Danio rerio: one gene and its partners. The protein of the gene in region 3 purifies or fractionates together with the protein of the main gene of each other region. This does not show direct contact. Links are inferred from orthologs where the notes say so. Each region holds a gene or a part of one and is shown on either strand. Other genes may lie near its edges. The genes, in order: cdc27, anapc4 and anapc7.

Region 1 (3,666 bases), on a different chromosome or scaffold from region 3:
TGGTTTGACTTTCACCAGCCCAATAATAGTGATTGATAAAACTGTGGGAGTGTCAAAGTTTAAGCACATGTCTGCAGTGTGGCTTCTCCTATGGTGATTGTAAAATCAATAACCAATCAAAGTGAAATTTTTTTTTCCAAAACATTTGTTTTTTTTCTCAATTTTCTTTTGAAGACAAGGGGGTCTTGAAAGTATTGGAGTTTGTGGCAACTGTTTAGCAACTGAGATCCCACAGTGTATCATGACTTAAAGCTGGTTAACTATTCATATAGACCAGTGATGCCCAAACTAGGATCTGCAAAAGTTGGCCCATGATAACCTTTGATTTGGCCCGCCATCCCAAATTAAGGGTTGGAGGAGGAATTGCCTTTAATAGAGATTGTCTTTTGTAATTTAATATAAGCTTTTGTTTGTTTTATTGTGATGCTACAAAAAAACAAGCTTGAATTAAATGTTTCAATTGAATGTTGTGAATGGGTCAGAGTATTTAAATGTGCACTGAAAGCCATGGTGTTGTAAATGGAATAGTTTCTTTTCATAGGGATACGTTAATTATAAAATATACAAAATTATAATGCAATAGTTAACCTCATATGATTATACATGATTAAGTAATTTCCATCTATAAGTATTATAAATATACATAAAAAAAAAAGAAAATTACCTATGGCAACTTTGTAATAGAGTTTGCTAGATTGACCTTCCGCCCACAGCTCTCAATGGACCCTTCGCTAAGCCCCCCCTCCTTAGTTACTGTTGCTACGCCTGTCAAGCTTTCGTGCCTGGCACAGCTTTTTCAATGTGTGCGCCGGTGTCAATCATTGCCAGGGGTATAATGTTATTTTTGGCGAACAGGTGAGATATCCGAGAAAGCCAGACAATAAAGGACTGCAGTATGCATTACAGGGGTATATTCACCACATAATAGGCAACCGATTAGAGAATAAATCAATTAAAATTGAAGCTAGCTTAGCCTAGCCACCTCATACGCTGACCATTTAACAGCTTAGCTCATGCTCAGCAGGAGAGGGGAAATCTAAAAATAATCTAATAATAACAAATTAAACCGTGATTTCTCTATTTTTAGCCAAAAAGCCTGATGGATTAATTGTTGTGCAATGAAATGGAGTTACTAACCGATGAAGAAACATGCATGACAGTGCTTTTACATAGTTCATTCATAGAAAGAACAGCCAGAAAGGGAAACTGATGGATTTGTGTCGAATATTAGCATCATTGACTCATAACAATAAGTTACCTATTACTGTCAGTATGTTTGTGTGCTCTTTATAAATGACTGAAAAACAGCAGCTGCGGGTAAAGTATATTGATCTGCTGCTCAGTTTGTGATCATATCTCGGTTTTGTTCTGCTAATTTGTCATTTCTAATATTCATAGCTTGAAACAGATGGAAATATGACGTTCAGTAAAGTTAGCAACAGATTCGCAGATTTGTATTTTCCGAATCAATAACTCTTGTCATTATGACTTATTCGCTATTATGACTAAGTTACTAACGTTATGGCGAAGGCTTAAACGGAGCATTACTCACAATAGAGCAAAAAAAAAAAAGGAATAAGAAAGCTGTGAAACATAACCAGCTTTGTGTTTTTGTAGGAAACACAGTTTAGTTCTGTTTAGGGTAAGAGGTTTGTGAGTTATTGCCGTCTGTCTGTCACTGAATGTGTCAGGAATATCAAAACAAAATCAACTTAGCTCTGCTCTTTTAGTGCCCCTCACACTGCTTGATCCACGCTAGTATTTCTCCTTTTGGATTTTAGGTTTTGAAAAGGGGAAAAATTCCACCGCCCAGTCCAAACTCTAAGGATACCGGGTATCAGATTTGCACAATCCATATGCACTCGCTCGAAAACTTGACAGAGCCCCTGCGCGTAGCTACAGTTGCTAAGCCACGATTGGTGGGTGGCAGTTATTGGGCAGGGCTTAGCGAAGGGTCAATTATGTTTGGTTTTGGCCATGCATAGGAAACGTTTGAGCACCCCTGATATTGACCCTATTCTTAAATGTGATAGTGCACTCGTTTTTGCGATTGTTTAAGAACTTCTGATTCAGTCGTCTATCGGAGAAATGACTAGGAATAATAAACGGCAAATAAACGGTCCTCTATAAGCAAGTATGTTCATGACAACACGGACGAAGCAGAATAGTAAAACAAAAAAAGATCAGTTTGCAACATCAAGCAGAAGAAAGAACGGTTTTTAATGTCACAAAAATGAATGGAAGTGAATGAGACCAGCAGTCTCCAGCCAAAAAGATTCAAACGGCTGTGCTCGCTCATACACGTAGAATAAGGTGAATAGATTGACGAGCAACAATCGTAAAGAACTATTAAACTGCATATGGTTCACTCTGCAGTAGCGGTTGCCTGTTGTTTTGCATGTTTAAGTATTAAGGGGCGGTGTATTTTTGCTTTGATGTCAGATTTCAAATATAACAGAGTTTCTCAGAAATCACTCACTGCACCTAACATTATAGTACAAGTAGAGCAGTACCTTGTACTTTTCATTGGCAAACAGAATTGAGGCCCTATGGAATTTGCATAGCGGATTCTTAGGGTCGATGCTAATGGCTCTGTTAAGGGTCTCCAGTGCATGGTCTGATTTCTTCAAAGCATGTTGAACCTGACAGAGTACATGAGAAACAATATGAAGATGCAGCACAGCAAAAATCCTATCAGAAATTTTAAACAGTGATTATCATGTTATGTTTTATGCATAACCAAAAAGTACATAAAGGCTGATTTACTCACCACTCCGATATGACAGAGTAGCACAGAGCTCTGAGGATTGATGCTAAAAGCTTTCTTGAAATGAATCTCGGCTAGATTAAACTTCTCCTGCTTATAATAAATCATTCCCAAGCCATACCTGTGGTAAGAGACAGAAAGATGAAGTCTTTTTGCTTCTGAAATAGCAGATGGTACTTATCTGTCAGACAACTGGATAAGTAAAATGATTGTGAGTGAACGACTTATTTAATGGTTTTTTTTTGGTGTCATGTAAAGTAACAAACATACCAGGCATTGTAGTGACGTTTATTGAGGCGTATAGCATTGCGGAAGCAACCCAGGGCTTTCTCCAGCTCCTCTGTGAGAACCAGTTCATGCCCTAATAGTGTATAAGCGTAAGCAAAGCTGGGGTCCACCTGGATGGCCCGTGTGAAGAACTTAATGGCGATGTCATGCTCCCGCTGTAAGCTGAAACAGTTACCAACTACACACCAGGGCTGTAAAGAGGTGGAAAAACAAAAAGATAAGCAGCTGATTTACTGAACTGAATAATATTCCAACTAATAATTGCATTACTGCCTTGATAAACTTACCTCAGGTGAGTTTTTGTCCATGTCAGTGAGGTCTTTAGATAGGGCAGAAAGTGCCACATCCTTTTGTAAATGCCAAAGTGTTGTTGAGTAGATGTCCATACCCTCTACTCGATAGCTCTCTATACGTCGGACTTCTGAAAAAATCCTCTCCGCCTAATTAAACAGACAAAAATATCTTCTGTGAGAACAAACAAAAACATTTTCCACTACTTGCCATTATAATTTGAATGCCTTTGGTAATTGATTTCACCTCATTTCTGCAACGCAGACTCACCTGCATGTATTCAGCCAGTTCAAAGTGTGCTCGCCCGATCTGACCCAGCA
Region 2 (2,979 bases), on a different chromosome or scaffold from region 3:
GACATGTTAATACACGGATGTCAATCAATTCAATGGCAGGGAAACCGAACTCCTATGTCAAGTTGTGGTGGGCCTCAAAATGGGAGGGATTTGGATCCTATTCGAACATCAGGACATTTTTATATGATGTATGAATGTATTTTCATAATTGTTTTAAAATACTCAAATAATGCATGTTGATGGATTCAACAAATGCACATATCATTGATTAACAATCTTGTATAGCTCATAGCAAAGTGATTGAGAAGTTAATTTAAAATCAGTTTCCCTGAATGGAAATGAATGGAAAATTTACCACTGGATAGTGCATGTTTCACTCAAAAAAGCAGTTTGATTTTGCATTTACATTGAGGTCACATGACTAACTCAAGGCTATTCACTTTATCTCTGTAAACATGGTATTGAAAACTGTTAGTTGTGGAATAAATAAATAATGGATGACTGTGCATAGTGCATTTCTACAATGCCTTTCCTTCATGCACGCTGAATGTTCATCCAACCAGAGAAAACACAGAAACATTTTTGCCAGATATGAGTTCAGGGTATTACCAATAAATTCATTTATTTACAAATGAAGATGTGAAATATTCATGTTTATCGCAATTTTTCTTAGCTATGTAAAAAACATGACCTGTTATAACAGAGGAGTCTATAGTTCCATCGTGTAGAACTTGTTTGATCTTCAAAGTGTATCTGATCCTGCAGTGTCATCCAAACTGTCTCTTGGCCCCTGACCCGACACCTGGGCATCCTCCACCCGTCCACCTTCAACAGCATCACTCTCATTAGTCTTTGTGTCCTCAATTCTGTCCTGGTCTGAGCTCATTTCCTGTGACTCATCAGCTCGCTCTTCCTCATCCTCTTCCTCCTCTGCGTCCATTTCAAACACACGTACATGCCTTAGATTGGCACTGAGCTGATGGAAGAGATCAGACAATAGATTTTTTTACCATTTACAGAATATGGAAGCAAGCCAAAATCTTTATGGTTTTATCTTTATTTGGTTGCTAATTATTTTTGAAATAATGGCAATTATTAAACAGTAATATAATAATTAATTATTTCTTTATATAACAATTAGTATATGCAAAAAACGAAAACGATAAAGATTTTTGTGTGCTATATATTGTTACAGAAATTGTTGCGATAAGCAGTATTACTGTCATTTTGAGATCATTTTATAACACTGATTATGCAATGATTATATAAAAGCATAATGCAAATAGCCATAAATACTAAATATTTATTCTTAAGGTTATTTATATCTATAAATTTGAAGTTAAAAAGATAAATATCCTTTTATATACTGTAAACCAGTGTTTCTCAGCTGGTGGGTCGCGGGAAGATTTTCAGTGGGTCACGGAGTGTGTGGTCAAAAAAAACAACAAAAGTAAAAATTTGTACTTTTTTTGCTTATACCGGACTTTTATTTTGTAATGTGTGTGCGACAGCCCTACCGTTTGACATATGAAATTTCATTTATTGTTGCAACAAATTTGCCGAATCGCAAGTATGACCCCGAATATGTAAAGTATGAATATATATATTGACGACAAAAAAGACTTAAAGCCTTAGTGTGATATGTAGTGAGGTGCTCTCATAAGAGAGCATGAAACCTTCTAAATTAAAACAACATTTAGAAACCAGAAAACATGTTTTGTTAACAGTTTATTATTAACTGTATTTGTCGTGTTTACTTTGTAATATTTCTATAATTTGATCCATTTTGTTAAAAGACAGCAATAAAATATTGTTTATTTGTAAGTCTTGGTGAATTTCTTATGATGTATCAGTCACTACTTGTTTATGTTAACAAATAAATACAAATTAATTATAATTCCTAAAATTGTATTATAGTTTCTAAAAATTTGGGTCGCGGCTTGATGACCATGTAAAAATGTGGGTCCCATAGCTAAACCAGTTGAGAACCCCTGCTGTAAACTATCAAATGTTCTATTAGGTAAATGTTCAATTATAAATGGTCACTGTTAAAATAGAAATATCATTGTGAAATGGCTTTAATGTTATTTGTGAATTTGTAAATATATATTGCAATGCCCCAAAATGTGGGGGTTTTTTTTCACTAAATGTAGGTAATCTCCAAGTATTGCAAGATAAGTCGATATATTGATTATTGTGACAGGTCTATTGAAAACAGATGTATATTACATTGAAATATACATTCTTCATGTTAAAAAGCTGTAATAATCATATTAATAATTAAAAATTATTATTTCTTAATTGATTAATAAATTATAACATTTATAAAAAACATTCATATGAAAATGTTTCAATTCATTAGAAAATCATTCATTAGTGTTTCATTGATTCTTTAAATATTCTTTATCTAAATATTTAAATTATTGAAATAAATTAATGACTGATTTTTTTTTTATTTAAAAATTAAAAGTAAGAATTTTCCTTGTTAAAAAAACTGTTGTTTATTTATATCTCAGATTTTACTTATAAAAAGTTAAAAAACATTCTGGAGTTGTATAATCTTACCACACAGGCCACTTTGCGGATCCCATTAACAGCCACAAACTGAGCGCTGATGTTGTCCATCTCTCTGCTCTGGTTTCCCCAGGCAACACCCTGCACTGGAATTCCCTCAGTTTGCTGCTCCAACCTGAAAGACCACAACAAAGACGACATCAAAAAAAGTACTATTTCAGGACAATAAATAGGACAAACCAAACATAACCATACTACAATCCAGCATTTTGCTGGATCTGCTTCTTAATATGCATCATAGTACTTGCATTTCTTTTAAGGGGTCCTTGATGATAATCTAAAATTTTAGCATTATCTAGTGTGTGATGTCTCTGTTTGCATATAAACCACATCTTCAAAGTTGCACTGCTCAAAGTTCAGTGCGAAAGGAGATATTTACTTTTACACAATTCACTTTTTTCAACAGACATCTGCTAAAGATGACAATGAGCTTCTACCTAAGTTTGTGCATCACAAAACTTAGAA
Region 3 (3,558 bases):
GGTAAAGAAGATACTTTGTATGGAGATACTCATGTTTAGCTTGGGACTTGCTTCAAAAAAGTGCATTGGACATAGAGTCTGCCATTTACCTCAGTGCTATACTGTACTGGTCCATCGCTTCCTGATAGTCATTAACAGCAACCAGAAAATCTCCCAGCATTCTGTGCAGCACACAGTCGCTCTGATTGGCTAACGTGTTTCGCAGAAGAGCAATTCCTTCCTCATACTTCTGTTCTCGACCTGTGAGAGAAATTGATTTGATGTTAAAAAATACTTTATTATGATTCAATATTACATAAAAAGATAATAAAGTATAAAGAGACAATAATAGTATAATGCTATATATATATATATATATATATATATATATATATATATATATATATATATATATATATATATATATATATATATATATATATATATATATATACATTAGGGATGTGCGGAGCAGCCGGTATTTGTATTTGTTGAGAGGGGAAAAGTATTTGTATTTGTATTCGAGTAAAATTCAAAATGGCGCAAAAAATATATTTTTTCTATTACACTACTAATTTACGTTATATTGAAAGTATTGTTTAATTATACTCATTATATAAATTATAGATATGCAATATTGGCTGTTGTTTTTGAACATGTGATAAGAAATGTCATTGAAAAGAAAATAACATAGAAGCCATTATCTCATCCATGGTTAAACCAACAACTCATAAAATACCATTGTGAATATTATGAACCCCACCACCACTGTTCTTGTTGAAGGACACTGAATAGACAGAATAAAAACAAATAATACTTCAAAAAACTGTTCCTCTTCTGAAAGAACTTTTTTCCAATGGACAGAATTCCTAAAACTAAAATTAACTAAATAAATCTAAATAAACCCTGCCTGGGAGATCTGGCAGAACAAAAGTATTCTATATAATACTAAAAGATACAGCCCTGCTATTATCATCTGCCAGCCACAAAAAAAGACACAAAGTTTGTTTGTTTGTTTATTTAGAGATATCTGCAAATATTTTTCAATGAATGTCCATGGAGGAATATGACTAGTCAGTCATAATATATTTGCAGATATTTCCAATCTGAATTATAATTATGACAAGTCAAAATATAATTAGAGATATCTCTAAATATATTTATGGATAGTCTGAACAAGGTTTAAATGCTAAGACGGCTTGCCATACGCACAGTGGCACAGTGGAGATTTCTCTAGTTATATCGTTTCAGTCGTTTGTTATGCAGTGACATGCAGTCAAATATTTCGCCAAACAGTCCTTAGGGATGCGGGGACACGCAGTCAGATATTTAACCGGACAGATCCGCCACTTTTGGCGCGCATAAACAATCATAAAGCTCTCGTGCTGCAGGAATGAGGAGGTCTGCTGAAGGCGCGCAGCTGACGTGCAGTAAGGGGTTTGCGTCTTTAATAAACTACGGCAGTTTGCGATCACTGAACAGTAAGAATGATTAATAAATCCATATGAAACAGCCCCTTAAAAGTCACGTCTCGCTTTCAGTTTCGGGCTTTGGCGCGTTTTGCACTGAGCGTGTGTCTTTCTCTCTCTCTCTCTCTCTCTCTCTCTCTCTCTCTCTCTCTCTCTCTCTCTCTCTCTCTCTCTCTCTCTCTCACTCAGGCATGCACTGTGGTCTCATGAGGAAACGCAGCTTTTTGATACAGTGTTTTTCTTGCTCCCGAATACAAATAATTTTTCAAGTATTTGTTCGAATCAAGTATTCGTAAAAACACGCTATTCGTGCCTTTCCGAATACCGTATTCGGGTTCGGCTCCACCCTTAATATACATATATATATATATATATATATAAAACTAACAAAACTAAAAATAAATACTAATTAAATAATGCAGAAAATTATCACAACTATGAGGAATTGACAAATTATTAAAAAAATTAAAAATAATACCAATAGTTAATTATTAAAAATATTTTGATTAAATTATAAAAAAATTAAAATACATAAATTTTTAATTGAGAAAAAATTTAGATGTAAAAGAAATAGAAGAAATATATACAATAACAAAAAAGTCAATTCAAATTTTAAAATAATATTCACGATAATAACATAAAAAACGCATTATTAAATAAATTATAATACAAATAATTAAATATATTACTACTGCTGCTATTAATAACAACAATAAAATAAAAATATTAATCAAACAGAAAAAGAATCAATTAATAGTTATAAGAAATAAAAAAATAATCAACTGTAAAATACATCAAAAAGTAAATTAATAAATTGTATTCATAATCATGCATTTATTCAAGATATGATAAGTTGATATGCCAAACATTATTACTATTGTTAAACTTAAAAAATCAGAAAATTACACTGAAAACTACAAAACTGATAAAAACTAAATTAAAAAAACAGTTAAATGAAAAAAAAGAACTAAATAATATATTGTGTGCAAAATGTTAATAATTAAACAGAACATAATCAATTTATAGTTATGAATAAGAAATAGAAAAATAATCAACTGAAAAATAAATCCAAAAGTAAATAATAAATACATGATTATGAATATAATTTGATAAAAATATGATAAGTGGATCCATCAAATATTATTACTATTATTAAAATAAAAAAGTACCCAAAAATTGAACTGAAAACAAAAACAAAAAATAATAATTATATAAAAAACTAAATAATATATTATGCGCAAAATGTTAATAATTAAACAAAAATAATTAGAAATAAAATAATAATAAATTTTAAATTACATAAAAAATTAATTAAATATGATTACTATTACCATTTATTATATAATAACTTTATACATCAAATATTATTATTATAATCGTTAAAGTTTTTTCAAAACTGAAAAAAACTAAAAAATATGAATGAATTTAAAAACCATAATAACCGTGATGTGCACGGTTTCTGATTTACTCTACAGAGAAGCAGATCTGAGACTCACTGAGCAGCTCTGCTTTCTTGACCACAGCTTTGATGTAGTCGGGCCGCTGTGCGAGGGCTTTGTCCAGCAGAGTCTTGGCTTTCTCCTGGGTCATGGGGTCTTCCAGACACACAGTAGCCAGAATAGTCAAAGTCTGAGCGTTTGCTCCCAGAGTCTTATAAATATTGTTGGCCATCCCCATCGCCTCACGGATGCCATTAGACGCTAGATAGCAGTCGATCAGACCTAGAAACAGGAATAAAAGAAAAATCTAATAATGTTGTTCACACATTCAAAAGAAAAGTACACAATAGAATCGATTTATAGCTTCAAACATGCAGCTTAGCCTTCAGTTTACAGCTGATATTCAAATGTGTTGTGATCAATCAAATCACAAAAAGATCCATCTCTTCTGTCCAGTTTTCTGATGAAGGGGGTTTGTGTGTGTGTGTGTGTGTGTGTGTGTGTGTGTGTGTGTGTGTGTGTGTGTGTGTGTGTGTGTGTGTGTGTGTGTGTGTGTGTGTGTGTTAAAGGGATAGTTTACCCCAAGAAATCTGAAATTTACTCACACGTGTGATTTCAAACCTTTGTGACTTTTATACTTTCTGTTAAATATAAAAGAAGATAGTTTGAAG

The links.
Region 1: the proteins of anapc7 (region 3) and cdc27 purify together in Homo sapiens (affinity purification with western blotting; 23 studies listed by BioGRID and IntAct, with this or other methods). This does not show direct contact. The link is inferred for Danio rerio from reciprocal best matches to the Homo sapiens genes ANAPC7 and CDC27.
Region 2: the proteins of anapc7 (region 3) and anapc4 purify together in Homo sapiens (affinity purification with western blotting; 14 studies listed by BioGRID and IntAct, with this or other methods). This does not show direct contact. The link is inferred for Danio rerio from reciprocal best matches to the Homo sapiens genes ANAPC7 and ANAPC4.

The regions. Positions count from the first base shown.
Region 1 is NC_133178.1:20,785,924-20,789,589, reverse strand, and holds part of cdc27 (cell division cycle protein 27 homolog), read right to left. Parts: coding exon 3,617-3,666; intron 3,496-3,616; coding exon 3,343-3,495; intron 3,247-3,342; coding exon 3,038-3,246; intron 2,889-3,037; coding exon 2,771-2,888; intron 2,643-2,770; coding exon 2,514-2,642; intron 1-2,513. UniProt on the Homo sapiens protein: Component of the anaphase promoting complex/cyclosome (APC/C), a cell cycle-regulated E3 ubiquitin ligase that controls progression through mitosis and the G1 phase of the cell cycle.
Region 2 is NC_133195.1:26,077,101-26,080,079, forward strand, and holds the end of anapc4 (anaphase-promoting complex subunit 4), read right to left. Parts: intron 2,630-2,979; coding exon 2,506-2,629; intron 917-2,505; coding exon 683-916; 3' UTR 537-682; downstream 1-536. UniProt on the Homo sapiens protein: Component of the anaphase promoting complex/cyclosome (APC/C), a cell cycle-regulated E3 ubiquitin ligase that controls progression through mitosis and the G1 phase of the cell cycle.
Region 3 is NC_133183.1:13,326,405-13,329,962, forward strand, and holds part of anapc7 (anaphase-promoting complex subunit 7), read right to left. Parts: intron 3,170-3,558; coding exon 2,945-3,169; intron 241-2,944; coding exon 90-240; intron 1-89. UniProt on the Homo sapiens protein: Component of the anaphase promoting complex/cyclosome (APC/C), a cell cycle-regulated E3 ubiquitin ligase that controls progression through mitosis and the G1 phase of the cell cycle.